3 linked regions of the Cricetulus griseus genome follow. The protein of the gene in region 2 interacts with the protein of the main gene of each other region in a pairwise test. Links are inferred from orthologs where the notes say so. Each region holds a gene or a part of one and is shown on either strand. Other genes may lie near its edges.

Region 1 (10,213 bases), on a different chromosome or scaffold from region 2:
TTCTGAAGCTGGCAGACCACATCATAAAAGGCAGTTTTGCCTAACCTGATGGCAATAAATCTGGCCAACTTGTAATGCGCAGCCAAATACAGCCCAATGACTCTCAGGCTGGAATTGGCTTAAGGAGCTACAAATAATTGTGGGAGTGGTTCATGTCTACCTGCCTCACATTCTCCATTCCTTGAAAGAAGGGATTTCAGCAACTGAGCTTATTTAAAAGTCCATCCATAAATTGATCCATCCAGGTAGTCATATACAAATATGTAAACCATGTAAGCTGAGAAAATTCACCTAGAATGCTTGAGCTGAAAAGCATATATAAGTGATTTTGTTGCAATATGAACTTCACTGCATCCAAAGACACACAATGGAATTACATAATAAAACACAGCCAGATGCAGTTACTCTTACAAGTAGCAAGAACATCAATGTGGCATTAAATTTTCTTTCGTATTCTCAAAACAAGCTTAGCTTTATTTTGTGCTTTCTTCAACAAGACAATATAAAAAGTGGAAACAAGCATAAATTGCAGACAGAAAATAATTTTCTAGGAGAAAAAAGTTCTGAATAGTTAGATCGAGTAAAGCAACAACAACCACATTTATTGAATCACATTTCTTGATGATGGTAAATGTAGGTCATGTTCCATTTGTGCAACTGGCTTTAGCTAGTGGTAGCCTCTGGTCCCTGCCATTGCCAGTATTTTATGAAAGTCCTTAAGTTTACTGAAGCAAATATCTGGAACCCATCATAGCCCTCTGAGTGATTTGCCACCATGTTGTTCCTTGGAAAGCATTTCAATTATGTGCCTCAGAAGTTGGGATTTCAGGGGCAAGCTTCATTGCTTACCACAAACCCTATTTAATTTCCCAGTTTATATTTCAGTAGCCTATTTCAGTAGGCTTATCTCTGCCTATAATGAAAACTTAAATCCACCTTCAAAGAACAACAAAGTTCACTGAAGTTCATGAAAACATGAAATGTTATTGGGAGAATGGTACCACATGCTCCAAAGACAATTCTTTATGATAACTGCCAATTTGGAACAGTGTTCATTTGTATGTATAAGCCCTGATACATTTAGAAACTAATATCAATACAGACTAAATAAGTAACCAGCTTGTCCAAGAATAACAAATACCACTAATGGACATCATAGTCAAACAGAGCAATTTTGATTATTCATTTGTTCAGTCATACATTCTTTCAACAAACATTAGCCAGGCAACTACTTTGCTCTAGACACTGTGCTGGGCATTAAAAATACAACAGTAACAAAAGTCACAGTCCTTACCCTCAAGGTATTCCCACTCTAGTCAGGAAGAGAATAATTATACATTAAACTTTTGTGTGAATCAGAATCACCTGAGAAGCTTGTCACAAATGTAAGTTTATGTCCCCAGATAGTCTAATTTAGTGGATCAGGATTAGGGGCCAAGTATCAATTGTTTTAAAGAACAAATCACTAAGGGTGGCTCTAAAATGGGCCTTCTGAGGACGGCATTCTGAAAATGACATTCTAAGAAATACTACCATACAATGTGATTATTGCTGAGACGGGGTGTTCAGTGTGCTCAGGGAGTGCCACAGAGGGCCACATAAGCCAGTTTGAGAGGTCACTAGATAACTGAGAGAAGAAGGGAAAGGTAGTCCCAGGGTGCAGTCAAAAGTAGAATGGGGACTAAAGCTTTGTTCCTAGAACTAAAACTTCAAAGGATACAAAAAATAAATGAATGGTGTTGGAGAAGAAAGGAATGTTGGTGGCACATAGAGTGAATGCCAGGTGCTGTGCTAGGCAACTCCATTTTAAAACCTTTGCTCCAGCCTTATAAAATAAGAATCATTTTACAGAAGTGGAAACAGACTCTGAAAAGTACTTTCCTGAGGTCACATTGCTAGGTAAATGGCAGAGAAGCTAGGACTATCTCAGTCTCCAGGCTGGGAGCTTTCTAATACCACATGCTTGTTACAGCACTTCTGAGCTTTACTGAAGTTGCTCATTCCCTGATGAGTCAGCTGTAAGGTACAGATGATACTGAAAGCCAAAGAAACTGATGCTGTCACTTGACATGTAAATCTGAGCCTTCCTTTTGTTCAGCACTGATCTCGCTTTTCATGGTAGATAAGCAAACAATCTATGTGTTACTTGGTGGGATTTACAGAGATATGTTGTCTTTTGTGAGTAAGAGTGAGTCATTTAACAGCAAGGACTGCATTTTAGTGATATGTGCACTCTTGCAGCAGTAGTGTGGCATCTAATAGCTCATTGAACAAATTAATAAATAAGAATCCACCATGCTGGTAGAAAGCAGGGGAAACACTTGACACTGCAGCAAGGCTTCATACAATCCAGGCAATGACTACTACTATCACTTTACAACTACATAATAGTAATCATTTTACAACTACCAAGGAATGGACTTTGCTCCTGGTATAAGGCTCTATTTCTCTGGCATTTCCAATCTCTGCAAAAATAATTGGTGAAATCACAAACCATGAACCTCGGTTCCTGTTAACTAGTGTGATGACAAGTAGAATAGAATTTATGTTGTCATGAAGGGGATGCTAAGTGAATGAATAATGTAAACAAAATCACACAAGAATGAGTATTGATCCTATTGATGAAAACAGCATTTCAGGAGAGCTTCATCTGAAAATACAAGTACATTTGGACTCATATAGTTGTTGAACCTGTAACACTATTCTTACTGATCAAGTAAGGCGAATTCTGAGGAACCTCCATTATGCAACTCTATTTTTTAGCGTAAGTCTAGTAACTATGTATTTGAGAGTAACAAAACTATATTTCTTTGAAATATTCTATGACAATTTTTAATAATTCAAATAAATCTCCTCTATTAAATAATATCAATGAAATTATGCTACACAGCACACTAGACCAGAATCAATTTTCAATGTAGCAGTAGCATCTCTTAAGCAATCTTGTCCACAGAGCTCTCCTAATCTAACCAAGAGCTCTTCTCACTCCCTGTGTCTTGATTGCATGTGTTTTTATGTGTGACAGGAGGGGGTCTGGGAAGAAAGGCTAAAAGGTAAGAAGAGAAAAACACCAGTCTACTGTGATGTTTCATCTAGGGGATAAGAATGGACAGTATAATTCATTTTCCTTTTCAATATATCTCTCACTTAAATGAACAAATTAAGGTTTATCGTATATATGTAATAGATAAAATGATCTATGCCATTTTGCTCATAAAATGAATTCAGTCATTTTATATATTATATATACACATGTATGATATTCTCATAACACCTTGATTGTTAGTTTATTAAAAAGTGACAAATATGATAATTTGAAACTGTGCAAATTCCATCTGGTCCACCTAGCCACTGCTAGAAAGGCTAATTCTTTCCAATTTCATTTATACTCTCAAACCACTGGGAATTTTTAATTTCCCAATGATGACAGAGATATTCTCTAAAATTCTTCCCCAATGTCATGAACCCAGACTATTCAGATCATTTGTTCTGAGTAACTCAATACATGAATCCAAACATAAGCTTTAATGCACAAAAAATTAAATCTACAATATCTAGTTATTTAGGGTGCTTCCAATGAACTGTATTTTGTATCTCACATATGGAACACTAATGGCGGCTCAAGAGGGGAAGAAATGCTGAAGTGGAGAGCCAGTGAATTACATGCTCTCTTGCCATTTAATGGCAAGCTTTCATCCCAGACACATAGGGGGATTCTTTAGGCCTGCAGTTGCATTCCTGCTGCTCAGGGTAATCAATAAAATCTGGGGCAGGCAAGCCAGACATGATCATGAGGGATTTGTTCCAGATTGTGAATGTTGGACAAACTGGAAGAATGAAGGTCACATCAAAAGTGTGGAGATGGAGCGAGTTAGCTGGGTCATAGAAAGACAGCATGTTGTTGTCATAATCCAAGAGGACACCTAGACGCTTCAGCTGTGGGGGCACATCCACAAGCATTTCCTTGTTGTTATGTCTCACCACGAAGTTACTGTTGCATCGGGAGAAGACCCAGGAAGAGGCATTCTTGCCAATCCACTCATTCTTTGGAGCTGATTTGTAGGCGATACCAATTGCATACCTGAGACAGTGGAGGAGAAGACAGAAAAGTATTTATGGATGATATGAGTTGTGTTAGACATTATTTAGGACCTACGAGTGACTCACTGTGCTTCTTCCTTAAAACATTTATATTTACAGGCATAATGCTAATTATCATCAGATCTTGTAAAGCCAGCAATTAGAGTGATACAGCACTTCAGCTCCTAGCCCACTATATTTTCCATGATTTTTATCTTTTAAAAGCTGGCCAAGTTTTCTAGCACTGGTGCCTATCATATATCTCTTAACCTTGACTTATTGGTATTTTAGCTGTGCGGTAGAATTGAATCTCCTAGGAACCTAACAGCAGAGAAGCTGGGACAAGGAAAGAAAAAAATAGCCACTCACCATGTTGAAGAACCCATGACTACCTCCCAGTAGTGGCAGCCACTGTCAATGAATATATTTCCTGCTGCCCCATAACACCCAGTGCCACTAAATCTCTCTGGGGTATGGCTTTTCTTCAGAGAGCTTTCATCCTTCTCCATCTGCAATCCATCATTGGAGATCTTCAACTTCTTGTGAGTCATTTTGGGATCTAGTTTAAAGGGTTGGCCTGAAAAAAAGTAGAGGAAAGGGGGAAAGCATGATCAAGGATTTAAGAACTGTGCCTTTCCCTCCGGGACCATCATTAGCAGAGGATCCTCAACATGACGGTGATCCTTCGCTAAGTGCAGGTCAGCTGGAGTTTGGATTATATTAAGGAAGCAGGCAAGATGGCACACTTTGCAATTAAGTCAGAATACAAGTCATTCCTCCCCTAAAATAACCTTCATTCAGGCATTATTTTCCATCTGTGTGAAAAATGTGGGGCTCTCATATGAGTGCTATGCTGGAAGCCAGAGTCCAAGCACATGGGAGCTAGTAAAGTATTCCCATCATATGTTATGAAACTAAAAGGGACCACTCAAAGTCTCACATCCTCAAATATGTTTGGTACTTTGGTTTATTTCAGTGAGTGGGTGGGGATGTGGGTAGATTTTTTAAAAGAGTGTTGCAATGTTTGAGGTAGAAAAGCTTGTGTTAATGAGGCCATTGATCACTAAAGAAAAACTGAGAAGAGCTCAGCAACCGGAGATGTTGGCTTTCTAATTGGAGAGTGCGTGTCATTAGTCGACTTTGTTACAGTGACTGCTCCATGGTCGATGATGAAAGATAACATGTGCTTTGCTGCAGAAACTCATAACCCTATGCCAAAAACACTGTCCCAGGCCCCCGGTGCTGGTTAGGGCAAGAGATTTAGTACACAATATGCCTCTGTAACAGACACTGTGTGCTAATACAGTATCCATTACTTATTTTTTTCTCTCTCTCTCACTCAGTCTTCCAGCCTTCCTTGCTGCTAGGGACAGCTAATAAGAAGGACACTGAAGTCAAAGAGACTGGAAGAAATTTCCAGTTAAGCTTCTGTTTCCTAATTAAAAGATTACCAACTTTTCCCTTCTTCCTAGTAAGGGAACTATGACATCAGCAGTTGCACTGGCCATCTTTCGACCTTGTGGGTAAACCAATGCACAAAGAAGGAGCTCCAACCTTCCATGAGATCTCAGAGCTGCTATACTAGCCATGATCAGGCTGCCCTCAAACTTCTTGCTATGTATGTTTAAACACAAACAAACTAACTAAAACAACTAGTAACTTAAGCTACTTGGAAATACTTGTTAAACTGTGTCAGTTGTGACCGAGAACATTCCTAACCGATAGGGCTTCTCTATGGTAGAGCTTTGTAGATCGTCATAAGAAACAACTCTTTAACTGAATTTTTCTCCCAAGCATAGGACCCAGGGGTGGAAGGCAGAGAAAAACCCTTCCCTAACTTCTTTCTAGGCCACAAGCTATTCTATATATCTTAGGCCACAAACATCCATGGGTACCAACAAATCCCATAGACCAAGCATAACAGTAAAGCTCCTCCACTCAGAGCCACTGCTCTCACACATTATAATGGGGGAGTCTCTCAGGCTAACTGTCCTCCCTGGCACAGAGAGGAAAGCTGGTCTTTCCTTCTAGAATCTCCAAAACGTACTGTTTGTTTTTAGCCTGGTGGGTTCACTGTTCCGGCTGCCCGCTTGATTTATGGCTTTCACAATAAAGATGTAGCGTGTCCCACTCTGGAGTCCATGCACTGTGTAATGGTTCTGTTTAATGTTGGGCACAATCATCCAGCTATCCACTGAATTGTACAGGCCTGTGAAGTGGAGAAGACAAAGGCATCAGTCAACAGGGAAAAAAAAAACAGGATTAAAAGGAAAACACCGAAAATCTATTATAACCCACCCACGTGAATTCATTTTGTTTTCTTCTGAGCCTTGAAACATACAATGAGATGAACCAGCGCTTATGATTTCATTATTTATTTGCCATACACTTAGACGTGTGCCAGGCTTCTGGCACCTAGCAACCACTGATCAAAGCTAATTTTTATCATTTTTCTGCCAAAGAACACAAGAATGGTCACTATTCCAAATAGCAGAATCCTCACAATTATGGACTCTCTGGATCTTTACTGCTGAAGTCTGTTTCTGTGAGAAGTCAGTCTGGCCTTGCATGGACCAAAAAGTTCCTGTACAGAGCTCAGCAACATGAAAACTCAGAGCAGAAAGGCCACCTAGGCATGAATGTCCTTCATTTCACAGGGCAAACAAGGATGGAAGGAAAGTGATTTGCCCATGCTCATAGATGGTGTTCTAAGTAGAACACTGATCTTTGTATCCTACACCAGTGATCTGGGCACTACATCACTGGTGTGGGGGGGGGATGAATGACTCTACATAACCCTTTGTCCCTGTAAGATTTCAGACCTATATCACTCTGCTTTCCCACCTCATCTGCACCCTTACTTCTTAATTCGCTGGACTCAAAAAGAAGTCAAGATGACATGACAAAGCAGGACCCAATCTGTTTGCTCTGATGGGACATGATTTTAGCTCTTCCTCGCTTGATTCCGGTATTCATCTGGGGCCAAGTGGTCCACAATTATATTATTGTCCAAAAGATTTTTTTTTCTTCCCAAGCATGGCAAAGGGACTCAAGAATGCTTTGTTTTTAAAAACAATCTTGAGACTACAAATATTAACTTAAACGGAGGGAAATATATGTAGTTAAAAGCAAGTATTTGGCTAGCTTTCAGTAAAATGATTGCTGACGCTCTATTCTCTTGATTTTTTTTTTTTTTGCTTCTGTCTCCTCTTATCTGTTTCTCAATTGCTATACCATTTCAAAACACAATTCTACTTTCTTCAAGTAGAGGGGGAGGAAGGGACAAAGAAAATGGGGACCAAATTTAGTCATTTTCATACAGCTCTAATGAAGGATTTAGTGAGATTAGAAATTAGAAAGCATTGTATTTTACAAGGGATTTTATCAAAAGATTTATAATTAATTTGAGATAGGTAGAAAGGCCTAAATTAGAACTAGAAAGCAAAATGTAAACTGGGGATGGTGGTATATAACTGAAAACCCAGCACCTGAGATGTAGAGGCAGGAGGATCAGGAGTTCAAGGTCAGCCTTGTCTATAGAGCAACTTCTAAGCTCAGTCAAGGCTGTCTCAATACATCAAACAAAAAACCAACCAAAGAAACAAAAATCATAATCGGGAACAAAAAGATGTACTAGAGAAATAGCACCACGAATTGGTTGAGATATTACATGACTTGTGAAAAAAAGGATAAGGGCCACGACAAAGCTTTGATCTAAGTGTATCATCATTGGACAGTATGAGCAACAAAGAACAGAAGAACTTTTATCACATAGAGGAAACTACAGGGTGTCCCAATTTTTTTAAAAAAAATAACAGCTACAAATATTCTTCACAGTGAAGTACCATGTAGCTATTTAAAAAAAAAAAAAAAAAGATTGAGGAGGATACTCTCTGAGCTAGTGGAGAATGATTTCCAATATAGTCAACTGAAAAACTCTATGAAAAACCATATGTATTATATAGCATTTTCAAGGGAAATGTATAATAAATCATACTATTTTCCTGGATTTACAGAAACAATGGACAACCTAGAAAATAATAAAGTTTGTCACTTACAAAGGTAAAAGGGATACCAGAGAAAAGGATAATTCTCTGAGTATACTCTTTGCATATTTTCCCTTTTAAAGAACTTTTCATTAAAATTAAACCAATAAATCCAACTTCAAATTTGAAAAACACATATAATTCAACAAGTTAAATTCAAATCACCACCAAAAACAAAAAAAACAGAAAAGATGGGCCTAACTAAAGGCAAACTAAAACAAATTAAAGCCACTACATTTTAAAGGAATAATGACCATAAAAAATGCAGTTGAGGGGAGCACTGTTTATGTGCTCGGCCACATCCTCAGCCCCTGAGCAAATCAATTCTGAAAATATTTTAGACATATGACAGGATAATGTACTGATGTTGTTGAGACCCAGGAATCGTACCGTGGAGAAAAGAACATACATATGGAATGAGAGGAGGCAAGAAAGAACTTAGGGAGATGAATTAGAATTGGGCAAACCTGATGTGGCTGCACGTCGTCTGGCAGTTTTCAACTCATTCAAACTTTCCTTCCAGGAGATGGAAGGAGGCTCATAAGACCCAGGAGATAAACAAAACATCACCCCTCTGGGGAAATGGAACAGTTTTATAGGAGTAAACAACTTCTGGGGGAGGAGACTGACCAGCCAAGGTGTGGAGGAGAAACCACTGAACTGCCTGAAAACTGTGCTAAGAACTCCAGAGTTGCAATTTTCCTAAGTCATGAGCCATGTCAGGGTGGGATTTTTGGTGATAAAGTTGCTCTTTTGAGCTATCCCTGGTTTTTCAAGTAACCTTTTACCCATACTCTTCTAAGTTACTCCAATAAAAACTCATTGGTTCAGCAAGTTGGACTTTGGTGCAATCATCTTTTGTCTATTGTGAGTTCCCTTTCGTGTGTGTGTGTGTGTGTGTGTGTGTGTGTGTGTGTGTGTGTGTGTGTGTGTGTGTGTGTGTGTGTGTGTGTGTGTGTGTGTGTGTGTGTGTGTGGTGTGTGTGTGTGTGTGTGGTGTGTGTGTGTGTGTGTGTGTGTGTGTGTGTGTGTGTGTGTGTGTGTGTGTGTGTGTGTGTGTGTGTGTGTCTCTGTGTGTGTGTGTGTGTGTGTGTGTGTGTGTGTGTGTGTGTGTGTGTGTGTGTCTGTGTCTGTGTCTGTATCTGTGTTTGTGTCTGTGTCTGTGTCCTCAGGAAAAGCCTCTCACACAACACTGTATGATTTCTAAAATATGCAGTTAGCCCTCTTTATCTGTGGATTCTGCAATTAATGATTCAATCAACTACAGATTTTAAGGTGTTTAAAAAAGATTAATTTATTTTATGGGTGTATTGCCTCCATGTATATAAGTGCACAAAGTGTACGCAGCACCCACAGAGTCTAGAAGGGAGTGTCAGATCCCCTGGAACTGGACTCACAGACAGTTGTGAGCTGCCATATGAGTGCTGGAAAATTATTCGGGGTCCTCAGTTAACAATAGCTGGTACTCTTAATCACTAAGCTGTCTCTCCAACCCAAACAAAGTACAGATTTCAAGATTTGAGACAGGACATTACCATGGAGCCCAGGCTAGCCTGAATTCCCTATATAGACTAGGCTGTCCTCAAATTCACGATCATTCAACCTCAGCCTTAGCCTCCCTAAATATGCCAAGATGTCTGAGGCTAAAAATAGTCCTTTTTCCATGCTATTCCCTAAACAGTAAGATAACTATTTACAGAATTTATACTTTAAGAGGAAATATAGTCTAGAAATGATTTAAAGTATACAGGAAGATGGCTATAGATTATATGCAAATACTACACCATTTTATGTAGGGATTTGAGCCTTGACAGATTCTGGGATCCTCAAAAGGTCATGTAACCAATCCCACATAGATTCTAGCAGGCAATTATACATGTTTCCAATTTTGCATATAGATGTACACATATGTAGATTATGTACATATGGATATGTGGTGGTTTTAATAAGAATGCTTCCCATAGGCTCAGAAGCTTGAATACTTAGTCCCTCATTGGTAGCACTGTGTGGATAGGTTTAGGAGGTATGATTGGAAGAAGTGTGTCACTGGAGTTTTTAAAAGCCATGTGTCATTCATAGTTCATTCTT
Region 2 (10,313 bases):
GGACGGCTCCCTACATGTTTGTATGTAATATATGGTGTATGCACACATGTATGTGGAGGCATGCACAGCTGTAAACAGCAGATGCCAGAGAAGGATACTGGATGTCCTGTTCAACTACTCTGTGCCTTATTTCCCTAAGACAATGTCTCTCGTTGAATCTGGAGCTAGGCTGGCATGCAGCAACCTCCAGCAGTCATGTTGTCTTTGTTTTCTTGACAATGCTGGCATTATAACACCATGACCAGCTTTTTACATGAGTTCTGGGGCTTTGAACTTAGGTCCTTATGATTACATAGAAGAAATTTTACCCATTGAGCCATCTCCCTAGCCATGCCTTTAAAAAAAACTTTATGTTCAAAACCTTTTTTTTTTTTTTTCTGAAATGTTATATTAGGTTCTATCGAATCTTTGCTGATAAGATGCAGTCCCATGCTTCCCCACTGGTGTAGGGAATTTGACTGTCTGGAGGAAGTGATTCAGAGGTGCTATTTCTAGCCTGCCTCCAAGATCTTCTTAAGACACATGGCACTCTGACCAGTTTTCCATGCTGTAGAAGTGTTTTCCAAGGTTGGTCCCAAACATAGTGCCATGATTCACATTCTGGTAGTTTATAGAATCCAGACACTCATTCTTTCAAAGGTAGGCTCTATGTCACCTCTCCTTGGAACTGAGTGGGATTTTTGTTGACCAGTCGATTATGATGCTAGGATGCCATTGGCTTTCACTGTTAAGAAGTCATCCACTTCCACTTTTGCATATCAGAATTCCCGTTGTCTTGGAGCTCAGCCACCTGGCCTTGGGAGTATTCCAGAATCCCCCTTGAGAGGAACCACCAGAAATTTGCCAACAATGTGAGATGGCTTGAAATTCGCTTTTCTGCCATCATCAAGCTGTCCAGGCTGATAAAGCATGGGGCAGAGTTGCGGCTTCCTCGAGGATCCCAATGCATACTGCAGATTTGTGTATATTTCTAATCTTATGGTTGCTCTGTCTATCTGCCTACAAGGGTAAATCCGCAGTAGGTAAAAAAGCTCATGCTTTTTCTAAAATCTTCTGAAGATCTCTTTGGGGTCATTTACTTTTTGGGATTTTGTTGTTGTTGTTCTTTGTTTTTTGAGACAGGGTTTCTCAGTGGCTTTGGAGGCTGTCCTGGAACTAGCTCTTGTAGACCAGGCTGGTCTGGAACTCACAGTGTTCCACCTGCCTATGCCTCCCCAGTGCTGGAATTAAAGGCTTTCACCACCACTGCCTGACTTACTTTCTGGGTTTTTAAAGCAAAAAACCAACCATCCCAGATTTCTGGTTACTTAAAATTCTTGTTTTCAAGTTCTCACTATTTTTCAACTAAAAAGTGCTCAGGGATGATGTGGGCTGGAGAGATGGCTCAGCAGTTAAGAGCTTTGGCTGCTCTTTCAGAGGTCCTGGGTTTGCTTCTCAATACCTTCCCACATGGTGGCTCACAAAGGGAGTCTACAACTCAAGTCCTGGGGGATCTGATGTGATCTGCTTCCATGAGCACCAGGCCTTCCTTGTGGTACACACACATACAAGGGGACAAAATATCCATATGCATAAATTAAATTGTTTTTGCTAGCTGTTGGTGGCAGACACCTTTAATCCTGGCATTTAGGAGGCAGAGGCAGCCAGATCTCTCTCTGAGTTCCAGGAGAGCTAGGGCTATACAGAGAAACCCTGTCTGGAAAAATCACAAATTCTTTTTTTCAAGAGCTGCAAACAGTGCCTACTTCATATGCATACCAGATAATCCATGTGATCATTTAATATCACACCCAGCACAAAACATTTCTCATATTCTTACTAGTTTTTCTGTGCTCACATTCTGAGTTTTCCTTATTGCATTTTCTCTCATTTCTCATAGTACAGGGTTGCTCTCAAGCTATTTCATATCTCATAGAACTCCTCATTTAGGATAGGGATTCTCAAACTGAGGGTCACAACCCTTTGGGGGTCAAATGATTCACAGGGTTGACTAAGACCATCGGAAAACATAGATATTTACATTATGGTTCATAACAATAGCAAAATTGCAGCTATGAAGTAGTAATGAAAATAATTTTATGGTGGGGGGTGGTCACCGCTGATTTAGGAGCTCCTTTAAGATGTTAAAGACCTCTTTGAATCATTAAGGCCATTAGTTAATGCTTCTCTCTGTTCCAGTAGCACCCTGGGAAAACCTGTTACAGCTTCACACATTAGCCTGCAATCACTGTCTTTTCCACAGTGGACTCTTTCAGTTCAGGAAGGCATGGTCTGCTTTTGCTCTGGTCTCCTATGGTAACTCAGCTCCAAGCTGCAACATTCTCCCTTTCATTCACCTTCTACTCTTTGTGTCACTGTGCTGGCAGCCAGGGTTAGGTGAGGCCTGTGCTTTGGCAGACCTGCCTGGGAAAGCAGCTGCATTGTTTTTGCTACAACCTTAGAAAACGTTAACAGCATCTAAACAGCACGTTAAAATGGAAGCAGCAACAGCCCCTTAAGTCTCATGAAAGGAGCTGGAGAAACGGTTCTGCAGTAAAGAGCACTTGGTTCTCTGGCAGAGGACCCACCTGGAGGCTCACAACCATTCTTAAGTCCAGTTCTGTGGATCTGGCCCCTGAAGGCACCAAACCATGTATGTTAGTGTTGTTAACTTGATAGAATCTAGAAACACCTAGGGAAAAAAGCCTCTGGGCATGCCTGTGGGGGACTTAATTGATGTATGGACACCCATCTTAATTGTGGTTGTCACCTGGGCTGTATAAACAGAGAGGTAAGCACTAGCATGAAAAATTCGATGTGACCAGCTGTCCTTAACTATGGTGATTATCCCCTTTGAACTGAAATTAACCCCTTTTCCTTTAAGTTGCCTTGTGGAGTATTGTGGTGATATTTTATGATCTAATAAAGCTTGCTTGAAGATCAGAGTGCAAAGCTAGCCACAGCCATTCAGGCCAGACAGTTGGTGGCACACACCTTTAATCCCAGAAGACAGAGGCAGATGGATCTGCGTTCACCACCACCCTAGGAAAACCTGTAGGGAGGTGGAGAGAGAGGAATCATAAGGCAGAAGGAGACAGGAAAGCTTGGATTTAGAGGTTGGTGGAGAGCAATGCAGTCTGAGGACAAGGATCTCCCCTTCCTTCTGAGCTTTGGTAGAGGTGAGAACTCTCTAGTGGCTGGCCACTTTGTTTTTCTGATCTTCAGCCTTAACCTCAATATCTGTCTCTGAGTTTTTATTATCAATATCAACTATTATTCGTGCTACAGGATATTTTATCACAGCAACAGGAAAAGAAATGAAAACACCCAACAATCCCTTTTGGGACCCCTCCACTTTTAGGGCCTTCACTCTGAAGGTACTCCTACTCCTTTAGGGATTACTCCCCTACTTGTTGCAAATCCTTTTGGGGTGGGGGACAGGTCGGAGAGCCCCCCTCCCTTTTTTTGTTGATTGTTTGCTTATCAAGACAGGGCTTCTCTGTGTAACTTTGGAGCCTGTCCTGCAACTTGCTTTTTAGACCAGGCTGACCTCGAACTCAGAGATCCTCCCGCCTCCGCCTCCTAAGTGCTGGGATTAAAGGCGTGCGCCACACCGCCAGGCGAGGCCCCCCCCCTTTTTTTTTTATGTGAAATTAAAACATTTAGAATTATTTGTCAGGGCCTTGACAACCAGTTTCCCAGTTAGAAGCTTTGCCATCGAGTGCTTCTCGTTTGGAACAAGCCCCCCGATCACCAGGTCGACGGAGATGCGGCGCAGCGTCAGCCCGCCGCGCAATGCGGGAACATTGAATGAACAAATGGAACGAATGAATGAATGAGCTACGCCGGGGGCCGGGCCTTTGTTACGTCGCCCACCGGCGCAGGCGTGGTCGGTCGCACGTACGCTACTCGTGGACGCCGGACACCCAGTCTCGCGCAGATTCTGCCGCGGGCGAAGCAGCTCGGCGCTGCCTGGCGCCGCCTCCCCCAAGTCCCTGCCCCGCCGCGGAGCGTCACTTCCGCCACCCCCGGCTGGGGTTGGGGCGGGGAGTGCGGGGGAGGGGGCCATCAGGTCGGACGGAAGGCCGCCCGAAGCCCGCGTCCAAGCAGGGACTACATTTCCCGAGGGGCCTCGGCGGAGGCAGCGGCGGCGGGCGCGGCGACGTCCCCCGGAAGTGGAGTCCGGGACTTCCACTCGTGCGTGAGGCGAGCGGAGCCGGAGACAAGAGCAGAGGCCGAACTCGGGATCTGACAAGATGGCCGGGCTGCCCCGCAGGATCATTAAGGTAACCGCCCAGGCGGGCTTCGGGCCTCCCGCTCGGCTCTCCTCCACCAACGCGCCGGGCCGCGCGGCCATACGCTTCACTCGGCAGCCGCTGAGGGGCCCGAGGCATCGCGGAGAAGGGTCTGGCCTCGGCGGCGGGGAAGTCGGGCGCTGAGGAGGGGGCGCCGAGGAGACTTCCGGCCGCCGCTGAAAGCCGGACGCCGGGGGCTCTCGGGCTGCGAGGCCGCGCGCGGCACGGGAGGCCAGGCCGGTGCCGGTGCCGGGTGGAGGGCGGGGCTGCGGGCTTGGCGTCTGGCGCGGGACCGGCGCGGGCCTCGCCAGGCTTTCTTCACCCGCGGGCGGGAATCGCGGCGTGGCCTGGACTCCGGGCGTGGGTTGTGGCCTGGGCTGGCCGCTTCGCCCCGGAGCCCCCTTCTCCTGGTCGGCGGTCTCGGGTGCAGAATGAATGAACCGGCCCCGAGAACCGGGCGGGGCCGCGGGCCGCGAGTCCAGCCGCCGACCGCACATGTTCGTCCTGGCTGCCCGCGGTCGGCGGCGCCGGGGGCTTGGCGCCCGGGTGGGTGTCCTGCCCGCCGTGTTCGCTTCCCCGCGTTGCTGCCGGTTATCTCCGCGAAGTGATTTTACTCCGGTTGGCAAACTCTTTTTTCTTTTCTTTCTTTATTTTTTTGGCCAACTGTTTTCTGTTCCGAGGCACTGGTTCAGCCCAAAGCATCTCGGTTATGGGGATGATCTGTAATAGTTCGCCTCTGTTTTCGTGCGCCTTCCGTATACTAAGCGGTCTCGAGGCTCTTTAGGAATACTGTGTTTTGGTGAGTACGTATGGAACCATGAAAAAACTCGTATCTTGATTTTCTGAAGTCTTTACATAACAGCGTTGAGACTTCAGACACGATAGGCATCTGTTTTTATGAAGGATATTTAGTTAAAAAAAAAAAAACCCTACACTGCTCACCATGCCAGTGATATGCCCATATTGAAGCTTCGTTTTGCTTGCTGTAATCTAGTGAGCTTGAATTTACAGCACTGTTCACTCTTCTGAAGTTTTGGGCGAGATTTGTACTAATTATATCGAGGGCCCCTTTGAAGGATGTGATGCACTGTCTAGTCCCTCGGGCAGTCACAAATGGGTGTGAGGTTGGGTGTATGACAGAAAGGTGCTTAAATTAGAAAACAAGACCATTTATAAGACATTCTTAGGAAGAAAGAATAAATTGTCAACGAGCACTGTAGTCTTGACATAAACTTTTACTGCTATATTATGAATCTCAGATTCTTTCAAAGTAGATTTTAATTGTTAGGTCGTGCGTTGGAAAGTCCTGACTCGTTTAATTCTGATACAGAGACATGAACACTAGTGATCATGTTAATCAGGATTCCATTTGAAAAATGATTGCTTCCCACCAGACCACCGGGTTTTTATTGTTTGGTTAGGGACTAAACATACCACAGATTGATAATGAATATAATTCTCTAAAATTCACACTGAACCTAACAGTTGGTGTAGTTTTTTTTTTTTTTTTTGATTTTTGCTTGATTGTGAAGATTAATATTCTGCAGTAATACAAAAGTCTTGATTGGGAAAATAAATTCTGTGGAATATTGGCTATAAATTTACAGAAATGGTTTAAAGTAGGATGTTGAGGAGCTTGTTTAATTCATTTGGTACACAATGCTTAAGCATATATTCAGTGTTGCCATTTTGCTATTTTAAAACAAGGTAGTGGTAAACTCGTGCTGAGACATACAATCTTTACAGTATTTTATTGCACCCACCTCTAATTTATGTAATATTAATTGACTTCAGTACTTATAGCTTTAAAGGATTTTTTTTTTTTCCCCCATCAATAGGGCAGGTTAAGAGATTAGAATAATTTTTTTGTTTGTTTTCGAAGCAGGGTTTCTCTGTGTAGCTTTGGAGGTTGTACTGGAACTCACTCTGTAGACCAGGCTGGCCTGGAACTCCCAGAGATCCTCCTGCCTCTTCCTCCCCAGTGCTGGGATTAAAGGTGTGTGCCACTGACACCCCCTAGAATAATTTTTAGATCCATTTTTATATTATGTAGGTTCTATAATCAGTTAAAAATATGCTTTTTCTACTGTTAGGGATTGAATTGAAACTAGCTAGGACTTTGTATGTGCTCTGCAAATGCTTTACCACCAAGCAACACCTCAAGCAGAAAACGTATTTACATTAAAATTTATTTTGAAAAGTAACTTTTGGGCCAGAGAGTGCTCAGATATGGTGCTTGCAAGCTTTCTGAGTTCTACCCTTAATACTGCACACAAACCAGTTTTGGTATTGTATTTAAGTGTTACTTTTTTTTTTCCCCCCAAGACAGGGTTTCTCTTTGGAGCCTGTCCTGGCACTCGTCTGTAGACCAGGCTGGCCTGGAACTGACAGAGACCCACCTGCCTCTGCCTCCCGAGTGCTGGGATTAAAGATGTGTGCCACCACACTTGTCTGTCATGGTGTTTTATACTTATGATTCTAATGTAATAGAGGAAGGAGGGTTTAGAAGTTTATCATCCCTGGCTGCTTAGGGGGTTGAGGCCTGTCTAGAATATATGAGACTTTGTTTCAAACAGGTTAATACAATACTGGGGTCTATGTGACTAGAACAGTAAGTGGGTAAGGGTCGATGAAGCCATAGGGACATACTTTTTTCTATTGGATTATTTTATTTCTTGGTAGACTTTGGCTTTCAAAGGATAATATTTACTATTGCTAATAGTCTTTTTTTAAATTTTGAGACAATATTCCATGTAACTTGTGTTGGCCTCAAACTCAGATTTCCCTGCTGCTGCCTTCCCGTTCTGAAACTAAAAGTATAGGACACTATACCTCGCAATATTACTCTTCTCATCTCACAAATATTAAGTCGTTTGGTTTGGTGAGTTATTAATATGGTGCTTTCTACCTCGTGATGGCCATTGTATTTGTATATTTCTAAAGCCATTTGTTCCTTGATGCCACTTTGTGAATTAGTGACTGATTCAAATGTTGTGAATTAGTGACTGATTCAGATGGCTTTCCTTACTGTTTCTTACTTGGAAATAACATAAGGTATGTACAAATACCTTGGTAGCAATAAAGTACAAGATAACCACCCCTTCACTTTAGACAGGGTCTCACTGTGTAGCCTTTGCCTACTGATTGTTGGGATTAAAGGCTTGTGCCACCATACCCAAATGAGATGACTTTTGAGTTACTGTTCACCCAGTGGCAGCCTCTTTCAGATTCCTGTGTTCAATCCATTAGAAATTCTGTAGCCTCTACTTTCTATGTTAGGCATATTTTCCCATCTGTCTGAAGCCCCTGATCAAATCTGTCCTTTGCCTGCTTTTTTTGCATTAGCACTAAGAAAAACTACAGTGGTTCTCCATTATATACTAAAATCAACATCTTGACAAACTGCCCCCAAATACAAGACCCTGCAATACTATCTGGGATCAGCTCATCTCTTGCACTTCCTACAGTTACAGTGTTGGCTTTGCTCTCCCTAGGATAGTGAATGGTTAAGCTTATTCCAATCATGGGGCTTCACTGGTGTTTGTTGGCTTGCTCACTTTGATAATATATTGTGTTATTTTCTCACAAGACCTGTCCTAAGAAGGGCTATCTTAATTTTAACTGTCTTGTTTTTATGTCCCCATAGTCACCTCCTTTTTGCTGTTTAACACTTAAACACTTTTAAAGCTGTATTATGGCTTTGGGTGATCCTGGCATTGCTTCTTAATGTCAAGAGAAACTTTGGCAAATATATGATAGATACTGCAATACCATTTAACATAATCAATGAGATTTATTTGTAAAAAGTTCTTTTGCTTTGTTTTTTTCGAGAGGAGTTTCTGTGTAGCTTTGGAACCTGTCCTGGAACTAACTCACTTTGTAGACCAGGCTGGCCTGGAACTCACAGAGATCTGCCTGCCTCTACCTCTTGAGTACTGGGACTAAAGTCATGCGTCACCACTCACCTAGCCTGTCCCGTCTGTTGTCATCCGCCCCACCCCCAGTAAAAAGTTTTACAAGAGCTGTGATTTTTTTTTTTTTTTTTTATTTTGAGGCAGGGTTTCTCCGTGGCTTTGGGGGCTGTCCTGGAACTAGCTCTTGTAGACCAGGCTGGTCTCTAACTCGCAGAGATCTGCCTGCCTCTGCCTCCCGAGTGCAGGGATTAAAGGTGTGCATCACCACCAACCAGCATGATTGCATATTTTAATTTGATATTGTTACTGTGTTTAGTAGTGTTCATTTGAACCAGCAATTTCTGAAAAAGTTTTATATATATATATATATATATATATATTTATACACAAGATTTCATGTAAACTAGGCTGACTTCAAACCTCATTTGTAGCTGAGGATGACCTTGAACTGGTGATTTCCTGCCTCCAAATGTGCCACTGTGTCTAGTTTTATGTGGTGCTAAGTATTGAACCCATGCTAGGCAAGCACTCTGCCAACTTACTTGTCTCTTGTGTTCCCCCAAATTCATAAAACAAAAAAACAAAAACAAAAACAAAAAAAACCCAGAAGACTAGGACCAAACAAGCTCTAAAGGGTGCAGAGAGGATTAAGATTTTGCCTATCTGGGTTTCAGTTCTTCACTACAGACACCAGTGTTTTATGGTGTGTCCTGTCAGAAAGACCACTGTAATTCAGTTCATGTGTGTTCTGCTTCTTCCCCTACTCATGTAAATACTTGATATCCTCTCCACCCACCTGGCCAACAATTCTCCTTCAAAGTGAATTACTTTTTCTAGAGCTGCCTTTTAGGATTTTAACTAATTGTTGAAAGCTTTTAAATTGTGTCTTGCAATATTAATAGTTCTGATAGTTTTGCTTATGTGATTTTTTGGTGGGTGATGCTGGCTGTTGTAGTTGTTTTTTTAGCTTTAACCTCCCCTGCTCTCCTACAAGTCCTTCCTAACTACCCCAGACTGTCCTCTAACTTGAGATCTTGCTTCAGCCTCCAGAGTCCTGGGATTATAGGGTGCGGACCACCACATCATTTGGCATTAGAGTTTATTCTCAGTTCAAAGCTAAACAAAGACCACAAAGTATCACTAAAGTGAGAGATTTATTTATCATAAAGAAGAACTGATTATTTTGGGAACAAATAAGTCTATTTTAGTTTTATGTTACACTGATACCCTGATCTTAAAAAGCCTTAATTTTTTAGCAGGGTGTGGTGGCACTCGCCTTTGATCCCAGCATTCAGGAGGTCGAGGCTTGTGGATCTCCTGAGTTTTGGGCCAGTATGGTTTATAGAGCAAGTTCCAGGACAGCCAGGGTACACAGAGAACCCCGTCTTGAGCCCCCCCCCCCATTTTTTCAAGTGTGTGCATGCATGCATATACATGAATCATGGCACACCTATGGAGCTCAGAGGGAGTTGGTTATCCTTCTATCATGAGTTCTGGGGGTAGAACTCAGATTGGCAGGTTTATTATGCTTTTACTCACTGAGCCATCTCTGATACCATTTGATTGTTTTTGAGACTATGTTGGTCTTGAATTTGACATGGTGCATTAGCTTCCAGAGTGTTGGGATCACAGGGATGCCAACACATCCAAAGTGATATTCTTTTATTTTTTTAAATTATTCATGGACAAGAAAATACTGTCTGAAAATGGTACTGACTTACTAAAGGAGTTGATTTATTTGATAAAATCTAGTAAGCTGGTGATGTGGTGGGGATATGTAGCTCACTTGGTAGATTGCTTGCCTAGTGTGTAAAAGCCCTGGGTTTGGTGGTTCCATAGGCTGTAGCTTGAACACTCAAGGAGGTAGATCAGAAAGATCTAGAACCTCAAGATTATTTATCCTCTTCTACTGAGTTCCATGCAGCCTTGAATACATCTCAAAACCAGCCTATCCACCATTGAACCTACTGACCGAGCAAGTCAGTTTCTTGAGATTAACCATTTCCCCCCCAATTTTACTTCTCCTGTTTGAGCGTTTCTGCTTCTGTCCCCTTTCCTCTGTCTTTTACTTCTTTTTGAGTCAGGGCCTTCTATGCTGTGCATCCCAGGATGGCTTCTTGATTTG
Region 3 (10,213 bases), on a different chromosome or scaffold from region 2:
TAACGTCAAATATGCTTTTTTTTTTTTTCTTTCTTTCTTTCTTTCTATTCGGCAGTTGTAGACTGGAAAGTTGTGACCTTTTTTTTTTTTTTTTTCTCTGTGAAGAACTTGGGGGCTGAAGCGGGGGCAGGGCCTCTTCCAGGCAGGCCAGCCCAGAGGCTGCACATCTGTTTTCAAGTGAGCTGGCTACCATGAAGTACAAACTGTCAGGAAACGCCTCGGGGACGAGCCGAGCCCAGGAAGTCACGGAAATCCCCGGCCGGCCGCCTGCCACCGAATGAGAAGGAAGTGGTGTGGTTTGCCCCTCGGAGTTCCCCAGCCGGGGAGGAAAGCACCGCGGGCCTGCGCGGGAGGGCGAGCCTGGGCGGGGCAGGGTGAGGCGGGTGGTGGGCGCGGTCCGCCTGGACGATTTAAAGGCGTCGTGACACTCAGCCAACCCCATAGACCGGGCGACAGGTGCCACCCCAGAGATCGGAGGTCCCTGCGGGCGTGCAGAGCCTGAGGAGCGGGCTGCGGTGAGTACGCGCGCGCGCGCGCGCGCGCGCGCGGAGAGCGAGTGAGCGTCCCTGGGGTGGCTCGAGGGTCGCCAGGGTGGCTGGATCTCAGGCCTGCAAAAAACGGCTGCTGTGCACCTCTGGTCCTGCCCACTGGCCCTGGCTGCCCAGAGGCAGCTGGGAGACTTGAGACTGTGAGAACCTGGGCTTGGGGAAGCTTGAGCATGGGAGTGGTTGTTTTCTTAGTAATCAGCCTGGAAGTACACTAGGACTCTTTCTTTTGGGGGAGGGATAGGTGTTGGAGACCACTCGCACACTATAGGTAGGTCCCAGTGGCTTTGAACTCTGGAAAATCCTCCTGCCTTAACCCCTTGAGTGACGGACTTACAGGTCTGAGTCACTGCACCCAGTTTCTCAGTAGTGCTCTTAATCTAGTCAGGAAATGGCTGTGGTCATTTCTCTGTCTACTACATGCCAGGGTCTGCCCTAAAGACTTATGTCACCAACTGTACACTTAATCACCAATTGTAAGCAGTGGGCACCGTTATTAACTCCATTCTGCAACGACAAAACTGAGGTACTTGTGGTTTTTCTGGGCTTCACTGTGTATCCCTGACTGGCCTGGAACTGTGTAAGTAGAACAGGATGGCTTTGAACTCAAGGCAACTTTGATATCTACCTGCCTCTGCTTCCGGAGTGCTGGGATTAAAGGTATGTCTGGTCTCCTGGTTGTTTCCTTTGTAAAAAGGGACTGACACCCGTCCTATGATATGTGACTTAATAAATGAAGGTGCTATGGACATGATGAGCCCTGTCAACTGTGCTAAGAAATTCAACAAGAAGTTTTGCTGCGATTAGTAGTGCAGGCCTGTAGTTGTGGTACTTGGGAGTTCAATGCCAGTCTGGGGTATATGTCTCACACGACAGTTACAAGGCTCAGTGTCTTTGCTCGGCCTGTGACTGTGGCTACTACAGAAACTAAAGTATACTTCCTCTTCTGAAGGAGAAATAGTCCAAGGTGGAGGGAGAAAGACACATTTACCCTGCAGTGTCATACAGCCACCCTTGAGGTCTACAGGAAACGGTAGAGTAAGCAGAGAAGAGACCGGGTTGCCAAGCTGACCCGCAAGGAACCACTGTGAGGGACAGAGGACTCCTACATACTGATGTGGACAGGGGCGGGGATCAGGACAGGTCTAAGAGGAAGTAGGTCCCAGTGGCAGATGGCAACACTTCCTGTGGATTTGATGTTATGAATATGGAGTGTTTGAGGGGTGCTGGCACACAGAATATCTGGTTGTGTGGAGATGTGATTCACAGGCAAATGTTCTTTAGGCTTGGTTGGGAGGACCTGACCCGGGAGAAGCTAGAATAAAAAGCGGTCTTTGAGGTGGTCTTCATTTGGAAGTTGAGAGGGACTCAGCATAAGGACTGTGGCGGGACTAGGGTTGTGCAGTGTTTGAGGAGACGTGAGGCAGAGTCTAGTCAAAGCAGTAGGAGAGAGTGGCTCCATGAGGGGGTAGTTGTTTCTCTGAGGCTGCCAAAAGGCTTGAGACCACAGGCAGGCAGGGGCTGCACCTCTTTTTGAAGAACACAGTTAACTGAGTGAATGTGGCAAAGAGAGATTGGAGGAAGGGGCCGAGGCATGGAGGTATGTTAGGATGTAAAGAAAACAAACCCTCTGTTGCTGGGAAGGTGTCTATGGAAACCAGTGTAGCATCTCAGAAAACTAAACACTGAACTGCCATATGACCCAGCTTTCCCACTCCTTGATAGGTACATGGAGGAGTTTAAGACAGCTTGGGAGAAATTCCTGACTACCCTGTGTCTTAGTCACTGTTCTGTCACTGTGAGGAGACATGACCAAGACAACTTATAAAAGAAAGCTTTCACTGGAGGCTTGCTTATGGTGTCAGAGGCCCACTCCACGATCATCATGATGGAGCATGGCAGTTTGCAGGAAGGGACGGTGCTGGAGCAGTAGCTGAGAGAGAGCTACATCCTGATCCACAAGCAGCAGGCAGAGGGAAAGCCTGGGCCTGGTGTGGGCTTTTAAAACCTCAAAGCCGACCTCTAGTGACACACCTCCTCCAATAAGGACACACCTCCTAATCTTTCCTAAACACTCCACCAACTTGGGACTAAACAGTCAGATATATGAGCGTATGGGGGCCATTCTCATTCAACCCCCCACACTGTTTATTGTATCACTATTCACAACGGGACAGATTGAATGCCTGTTAACAGATAAACGGATGAAGAAAATGTGTTTGTGTGTGTGTACACTGGAGTACTATTCAATTGTAAAGAGAAAGGTATAAGCCCTTCATTAGTAATTCTAATAAAGACAATTAGAATCTGAGTTGGTGGCTCATGCCTGTAACCTCAGAACTCAGGAGGTTCAGGCAGCATACTACTGTTTGAGGCTAGTCTGGGTTACAGACTGAGTACCAAGCTAGCCCTAGCTGTAGCATATCTGTCTAAGACAAAACAAAAAAGGCACGTGAGAAGAGTAAAGTATTATGACTCTTGAAATTACTGCAAAGAGCACTGGGGCTGGAGAGATGGCCCAGTGCAGTCAGAAATAAAAAGGAATTTCTAGTTTTGTAATTTCATTATTGTTATATAAGATGTTAATTTTGGGAAGCTGGGTGCAAAGTATATGTGACATCTGCAAGTTTTTATATATATGCTCTGGTCTGTAACTCATGAGTTCTGTGTGAGATTTCTTGGCTGACAACACCCAGTGCAGCATTGTTTTCTCAGAGTTGGGGACTGAGGTAGGAGTCTTGAGTATGCTATCTGAGTGCCCTACCACTGAGCCCCGCTGACAGCCCGAATTAGCATAGCTTCTTGCTACAGACCAGTTTCTGTTTTGTATAAAGCATCTTAAGGAAAAGATCATGGTGGCACTTGCTTATAATCCCAGGATTTGGGAAACAGACAGGAAAATCATGAGTTTGAGGCTGTCTTAGACTACACAGGGAAATCCCAGTCTCGAAAAAGAGGGAGTAGGGGGAGAAAGAAAAGAAAAAAGACATTGTATTATAAACCTGAGTTGTTTGACTTTAATTTCTCTATTTTAAACAGGTTTACAAAGGACACAAACCCTTCTACTACTTGTAGCTTTTTTTCTGTTTTTTTTTTTTCTGTAAACCAAAACATCTCAAAATGGAGGCCTAAACCCCTTAAAGGGACTTAGTCTAATCTTGGGAGGTAGTTTTGTGCATGGACAGACAAATTCAGCCCTCAGTTGACTTTCGGGACTGTTGTCTAAAGATGCTCATTTGAAGTCTGTAGTCTGATTGTCTGAGGCGTTGAGTATTATGATTTGGTTGTGAACTTGACTCTAGGAAGGGAAGGAGTTCTGTGGCTGGGCACAGTGATGAAGCACTCTTCAGAAAGTTGCCTGGCAATTTCCCACTGGCTGGCACTTTTTAAAAAGTGCCCACATTCAAGAAAGATCCAAACATGAGTGCCGGCTATCCAGAGGAAATGAGTAATCTGCTTTGCACAGTAGTACAGAAGTGTACTCATGAGGTCACTGACACATTCAAAGATTGCAACAATGACAGAGAACAAACAGGAACAAAATGTTCTCGTAGGCACAGCAGATTTAGAGGAAGTAAGACAGACACTACAAGAGAGTTGAGAAACTGTCCACCATTGGTATTTTAAAGGTCTACACAGCACAACTTTTAAATAGACTGTAAGCATGAGAGTTATTTTGGCAGATGAACTAGTTTATTCAGAAAGAAATGTCATAGAACGACCAAGTTTTCATAACCCTGTGGAGGGGACAGAGAGGTTAGACACAATGATTTCTCCTGAGAGAGACTCTTGTTGACAGCTGTGGGATTTCTCCTGCCATTTAGAGATAATGAGTTGGTGTCCTTGGTAGAGAACCTGCCATATCTGTGAACTGCAGGAAGCCACTCCAGCCAGTGGCAGCAAACCCCCATGCCTTTACACAGGATGAATTTGCTAATGGCTAGTGAGTCCTTCTATGAGAGACTCTCAATTTGAAGGTCTCTGTGTTCAGATGGTAATAGACTTGTTTGTTTTGATAAATATGTGCTCAGGGAACACACTCTGTGACATAATTTCTGAGTTTGGGTCTCAAGCCTACATTCGTGGCCCACACCATTAAATCCCAGCACTCAGAAGGCAGAGGCAGACTGATTTCTGAGTTTGGGGTTGAGGCCAGCCTGGTCTACAGAGTGAGTTCTAAAACAGCCAGGACTACATAGAGAAATCCTGTTTTGAAAAAATCAAAAAAAGAAGGAAGGAAGGAAGGGAGGGAGGGAGGGAGGGGGAGAGAGACAGAGAGAGAAAGAAATTGAGAGATTGAGACTTGCTGTAGAACTGAGTGGTACCACACAGGCTTTGTGAGCCAGAGGCCCTGGGCTCAGTCCCCAGTGCTACAGATGAACAAACTCGGTGTTCTAAGTAGTTAGTAAGTCTTGGTCCTTTGAAAGGAAACAAAAACCAAACAAAACTCTTGAAGTGGTTTATTATTTTAAAATCCTGTCTGATCCATGTTTCATTCTATATGAATACATACATAGCTTCATGAACCAGACTTTCATGTGCAGGTTGGGTGAACGCCATTAGTGCCTCCTTGTAGCAAGGAGAAGCAGGCTTGCCCCTCAAGATGCCTGGCCCAAAGTGCCCAAACACTATGTTTCCAGGATGGAATTAAGTTCTATCACACATTGGCTCTTAGGGAGAATCTAGTTTCTATTGTATGCATGAAGATTGTGCAAAGGTATGGTTGTGTGTAATTGTGCCTTAAATGTATCAGGGTAGGATTTAGACTCTCATCCTACTGAATCCTGAAATACATAGAAGAAAAAAAATGAGTTTGTTCTTATTTTAGGTGTTCAGCCTAGTAGTAAAACTGACCAAAAGCCATGCACAAAACTACCTCCCCAGAGGAAGGCTGGTCCCCTCCCCTCCCTACCGATTCGTCATGAACATGGCTCCAGACAGTGTCTTCCTGTCCAAGCTGATGAAGAGTGCCGACACCTTTGAATTGAAGTACGACTTTTCATGTGAGCTGTACCGTTTGTCCACGTACTCAGCTTTCCCCGCTGGAGTTCCTGTATCGGAAAGGAGCCTGGCTCGTGCTGGCTTTTACTACACGGGTGTCAACGACAAAGTCAAGTGCTTCTGCTGCGGCCTGATGCTGGACAACTGGAAACAAGGCGACAGTCCTGTGGAAAAGCACAGGCAGCTGTACCCCAGCTGCAGCTTTGTTCGAACTCTGAATCCAGCCGGCAGTCTGGAAACCAGCCCTCAGCCGCCTCTTCTGTCTGCAGAGCCAAGCGCCGTGCCTTCATTATTTGCAAGTTTGGAGAACACTGGTTATTTCAGTGGCTCTTATTCAAGCTTTCCCTCGGATGCTGTGAACTTCAGAGCAAATCAAGATTGCCCTACTTTGAGGACAAGTCCCTACCACTTTGCAATGAATACGGAGAAGGCCAGATTACTCACCTATCAAACGTGGCCATTGTCCTTCCTGTCACCAGCTGAGCTGGCCAGAGCCGGCTTCTACTATGTAGGACCTGGAGACAGGGTGGCCTGCTTTGCGTGTGGTGGGAAACTGAGCAACTGGGAACCGAAGGATGACGCTATGTCAGAGCATCGGAGACATTTTCCCAATTGCCCATTCTTAAAAGATCCGAGTCAATCCGCTTCAAGATACTCTGTCTCTAACCTGAGCATGCAGACACACGCAGCACGAGTTAGGACGTTCTTTAACTGGCCTCCCAGTGCTCCCGTTCATCCTCAGCAACTTGCAAGTGCCGGCTTTTATTACACAGGTGAGAACCTCAATCTGAGACTCTTAAAGATCCAACATGTGTTATGTTACACATGTGACTGAGCAAATTTTGTGTACTCACAAGTGTGCTTCAAAATGAATTTTAGGACACAGTGATGATGTCAAATGCTTTTGCTGTGATGGCGGGCTGAGATGCTGGGAGTCTGGAGATGACCCCTGGGTGGAGCACGCCAAGTGGTTTCCAAGGTAACTGCCTTGAAATTCTCCTTTACATCTTATAAGATTTTCATGAGATACATTATCTTCCTTAGAGTACCTTTGCCCTTTTTTTTTTTTTTTTTTTTTTTTTGAGACAGGGTGTCTCTGTGGCTTTGGAGACTGTTCTGGAACTAGCTCTTGTAGACCAGGCTGGTCTCAAACTCACAGAGATCCACCTGCCTCTGCCTCCCGAGTGCTGGGATTAAAGGCGTGGGCCGCCACCGCCCCCCCCCCCTGTATCTTTGCTCTTAAGTACTGCAGATTTTGTTTTATTTTTTTATGCATGAGTATTTTGCCTACTCACGTCTAAGCACCATTTTGTGCAGTGCCTGCAGAGGCCAGAAGAGGGCGATGCACCCTCTGTGAGTGGAGTTAGAGAGGGTCTGAGCCAACTCTTGGGAGTTGGGAATCAAACCTTGGTCCTCTGGAAGAACAGCCAGTGCTCTTAACTATTGAGTCATCTCTTCTGCCCCATTACTTCAGATTTTAAACATTGTGAAGATTATGAAGAATATCCCCCCCACCCCCTCGAAAAGCCAAAAAAGAAAAAAAGTATTTACATAGATTTTTTTAAAAAGTGCTTTCCATTACTCTAGTTAAATTTTTTAATACTTTTTTTTGTTTGTTTTATGTGTGTATATTTTGTGAAGGTCAGAGAACACTTTTTGAGGGCTGGTTCTCTCCTTTTATCCTGTGGGACTGAACTCATGTTACCAAACTTGGTGGCAAGTACCCACTGAGCCGTCTCGCCAGCCGCTACAGTAGGAGTCCTGAGCCTGCACCAGCACTGTATGGATTCACTCTGTACTTGCTTTAGCAGGGGATCTCTAATGTAGGGATTGGGAAGCTCATCAACAGAAGGTTGTGCTGAGTGTCCCCATTCTTTCCCTCAAGTCTGTTTGCATGTTTTCAGACCATGACATTGTCACTGAAATGATCACATGACTTATGGAGAGAACTCTCTGCGTCCATGTTGGCTTAGCGGTATTTTTAGAAACCTAAGAAGAATGGAGAGCAGGGAGAAACTCTGAGTAGAGACCTCTTGGTGGCCTTGGCTTGAGGACTGTGCTGGGAGCTCCTCGTGATCACCACTCAGTGGCTCAGCCTTGACAGCACAGAGGCTACTCCTCTCCATGATCCTGCCTTTCGCTACAGCCCCTTCCTCCTTCCTGTGCCAAGTCAATAGTGTGGTGCTTATGTTTGTGTTCAAGCTCCTGAGGAATGTTTACCAGCCTACATAGAATGGCTCCGCCCAATGTGCCATAAACTTTTCAGGATTTTCAAAATTCAGAGAGATATGGTATAGCCTGGTAATAAAACTATAAAACATAAAGTAGTAAAGCTAATTTTATAAAGCAACTGAAGTATATGAAAAGTGCTAGAAGTTAATCAAATTCACCCTCCCCTCAATGGGCAGCACTTGGAGAGATGGGTCAGTGGTTACCGCTCTTGGTTCCCAGCACCCACATTCAGGCAGCTCACAACCACCTATAATTTCAGTCCCGGAGGGCCAGGTGCTTCTCACCTCCATGGGCCTGGCATTCACGTGCATAAACACACACACGGACACAGACATACACACAAGCAAAACAATGAACCTTCATAAAGCCCCATAAGGAAAACAAGCTCACACAGTGTCAGTCCCGGTAGCCCAGGCTTGCTTATTCTCCTAATGTTAGGAATCTGGTCTTTGGTGATTCTGTCACCTGGGTAACCAGATTTCACACAAGGTGAACACCTAGACATGAATGTGTCATTACATTTCACTTCACTTTCTGAAATTAAAATGAGTTTTCAATCATAAAAATGAGCACAATAAAACTACTTGTAGTGGCACTGTCCCTTCTGAGGCTGGTAATGAACAAAGTTGTCTTGTTAAGGAATGCCCAAGGCTTCTTTGCATTTTAGGTGTGAATACTTGATAAGAATCAAAGGACAAGAGTTTGTTGGCCAAGTTCAAGCTGGGTACCCTCATCTACTTGAACAGGTAGGAAAGACCTCTGTTTTCTTTTCAATTATTGCTTCCCAACAGAGAAATTTTATTTATTTTTAAAGGGTTAGTTGTTTAACAAATTATTTTTAAGAATTTGTTTGTAAAATAAATCACAGAGTAATATTTCAGTGAAAAGGTGAAAGTTGTTTTAAAACAGGCCCTCATCTTTTCTTTCAAAAATCAGCATCACCATGCCGGGAGCCATTCTTGTGAGAAAAAGATCTATAATTATTGGCCACATAAAAGACAGTGTTTGTTGTATTCCTCTTTAAGCATTTGTCTAACCAATCATCAATGTATTAAACTCTGAAGCAAAAAATAAATTAAATTTGAGGGGAGATGTCTACCCTGTAGTTTTTTTTGTTGTTGTTGTTTTTTTAAGTTTTATTTATGTATACAGTGTTCTGTCTGCATGTATGCCTACATGCCAGAAGAGGGCACCAGATCTCACTATAGATGGTTGTGAGCCACCATGTGGTTGCTGGGAATTGAACTCAGGACCTCTGGAAGCACAAGCAGCCAGTGCTCTTAACCTCTGAGCTATCTCTCCACACCTGTAAATTTTTCTTCAGTGACTTGAGAAAGCATTTGTTACTGCTCCTTGGAAAAAGCATATGGGAACTTATTTTATAGTCTAAGCTTCAAGAACTTATCAGCCATGGCTAGAGGAACCGAGTGCTGAGTCATCTATCCCAGCAGATGAGTAGGTACAGCCGCTGCAGATGCAAGGCCATCATGTGGCCTCTCCTGAATCCAGCCAGTCCTATCCTGAGGAGGCTCTGCTCACTGCAGCACACTGTCTATTGGATGCTGGTAACCTTGTTCAAACCCCTGGTAAATGTAAATGAAATGATGCTTTTGACTGAAAAAAAAAATGTCTTCTGGATGGCAAAGTGGTTAAGGTAGTAGGTTAAGTAAAGCAGCTTTGTTGGTGATTCTCAGTGCAGTAGTGGGATGCAGTTTACATTTTAACATGTATGTTTTTCCCCATAGCTATTATCTACCTCAGACACCCCAGAAGACGAGAGCGCAGAGTCACCAAGTATGTATAATGACCCTAGTGCATTTAAGTGAACCAGCTTGTAGTAAGAGTGAAGGTGCAGATGTGTGTGGTTGTAATCCAGCATTGGGGAGGTAGAGGTGGAAGGATTGTTGTTCAAGGCCCCATAGAACTACTTGAGACCCTGTCCTAAAAATAAACAGAAAGGTTATAATGGTAAATGCAGATTCGTGTTGATCTACAATTTATAATTAATACACCCTGTTACTGTCTGTCAAACATCAATGCACAGCAGAGTTGCTTGGAGAGCCAACAGTGTAGATGTCTAGTTTATGCTTCAGACCCCACAGACTGAATCAGTGTATGTAGTGTGTGGCTTGGGTTCCTATGTACAGTTGTTTGATGGTCCTGTGAACCTAGGGCCTCAGGCATGCCAATCACAGCCTCTTTCACTGAGCTCCACCCTGTAGCCCTGGGCATCTATACAGACTGTGTACATCCAGCCTTGCCCTGTTGTTGAGCCTTTGTGGGAACAAATACACTGTGTTTTCAGTTGCTGGCACACTCCTCCTGTCCATAGAGAGGGTAGAACATAGTGTTCCACCCTGACTTGCATAGTACTTAAACCCAAGAGAATGGAGCAAGCATTTGAACAGATCTTGACACTGCTTTTCAGTGTTCAA

The links.
Region 1: the proteins of Ube2n (region 2) and Mid2 interact in a two-hybrid assay, tested with the Homo sapiens proteins (2 studies listed by BioGRID). The link is inferred for Cricetulus griseus from reciprocal best matches to the Homo sapiens genes UBE2N and MID2.
Region 3: the proteins of Ube2n (region 2) and baculoviral IAP repeat-containing protein 3 interact in a two-hybrid assay, tested with the Homo sapiens proteins (2 studies listed by BioGRID and IntAct). The link is inferred for Cricetulus griseus from reciprocal best matches to the Homo sapiens genes UBE2N and BIRC3.

The regions. Positions count from the first base shown.
Region 1 is NC_048604.1:39,567,798-39,578,010, forward strand, and holds part of Mid2 (probable E3 ubiquitin-protein ligase MID2), read right to left. Parts: intron 6,290-10,213; coding exon 6,128-6,289; intron 4,658-6,127; coding exon 4,450-4,657; intron 4,082-4,449; coding exon 3,679-4,081; 3' UTR 1-3,678. UniProt on the Homo sapiens protein: E3 ubiquitin ligase that plays a role in microtubule stabilization. Mediates the 'Lys-48'-linked polyubiquitination of LRRK2 to drive its localization to microtubules and its proteasomal degradation in neurons.
Region 2 is NW_023276806.1:161,498,131-161,508,443, forward strand, and holds the start of Ube2n (ubiquitin-conjugating enzyme E2 N), read left to right. Parts: upstream 1-4,077; 5' UTR 4,078-4,235; coding exon 4,236-4,265; intron 4,266-10,313. UniProt on the Homo sapiens protein: The UBE2V1-UBE2N and UBE2V2-UBE2N heterodimers catalyze the synthesis of non-canonical 'Lys-63'-linked polyubiquitin chains. This type of polyubiquitination does not lead to protein degradation by the proteasome.
Region 3 is NC_048597.1:122,234,786-122,244,998, reverse strand, and holds the start of baculoviral IAP repeat-containing protein 3, read left to right. Parts: upstream 1-380; 5' UTR 381-515; intron 516-5,373; 5' UTR 5,374-5,466; coding exon 5,467-6,319; intron 6,320-6,425; coding exon 6,426-6,525; intron 6,526-8,445; coding exon 8,446-8,524; intron 8,525-9,523; coding exon 9,524-9,572; intron 9,573-10,213. UniProt on the Homo sapiens protein: Multi-functional protein which regulates not only caspases and apoptosis, but also modulates inflammatory signaling and immunity, mitogenic kinase signaling and cell proliferation, as well as cell invasion and metastasis.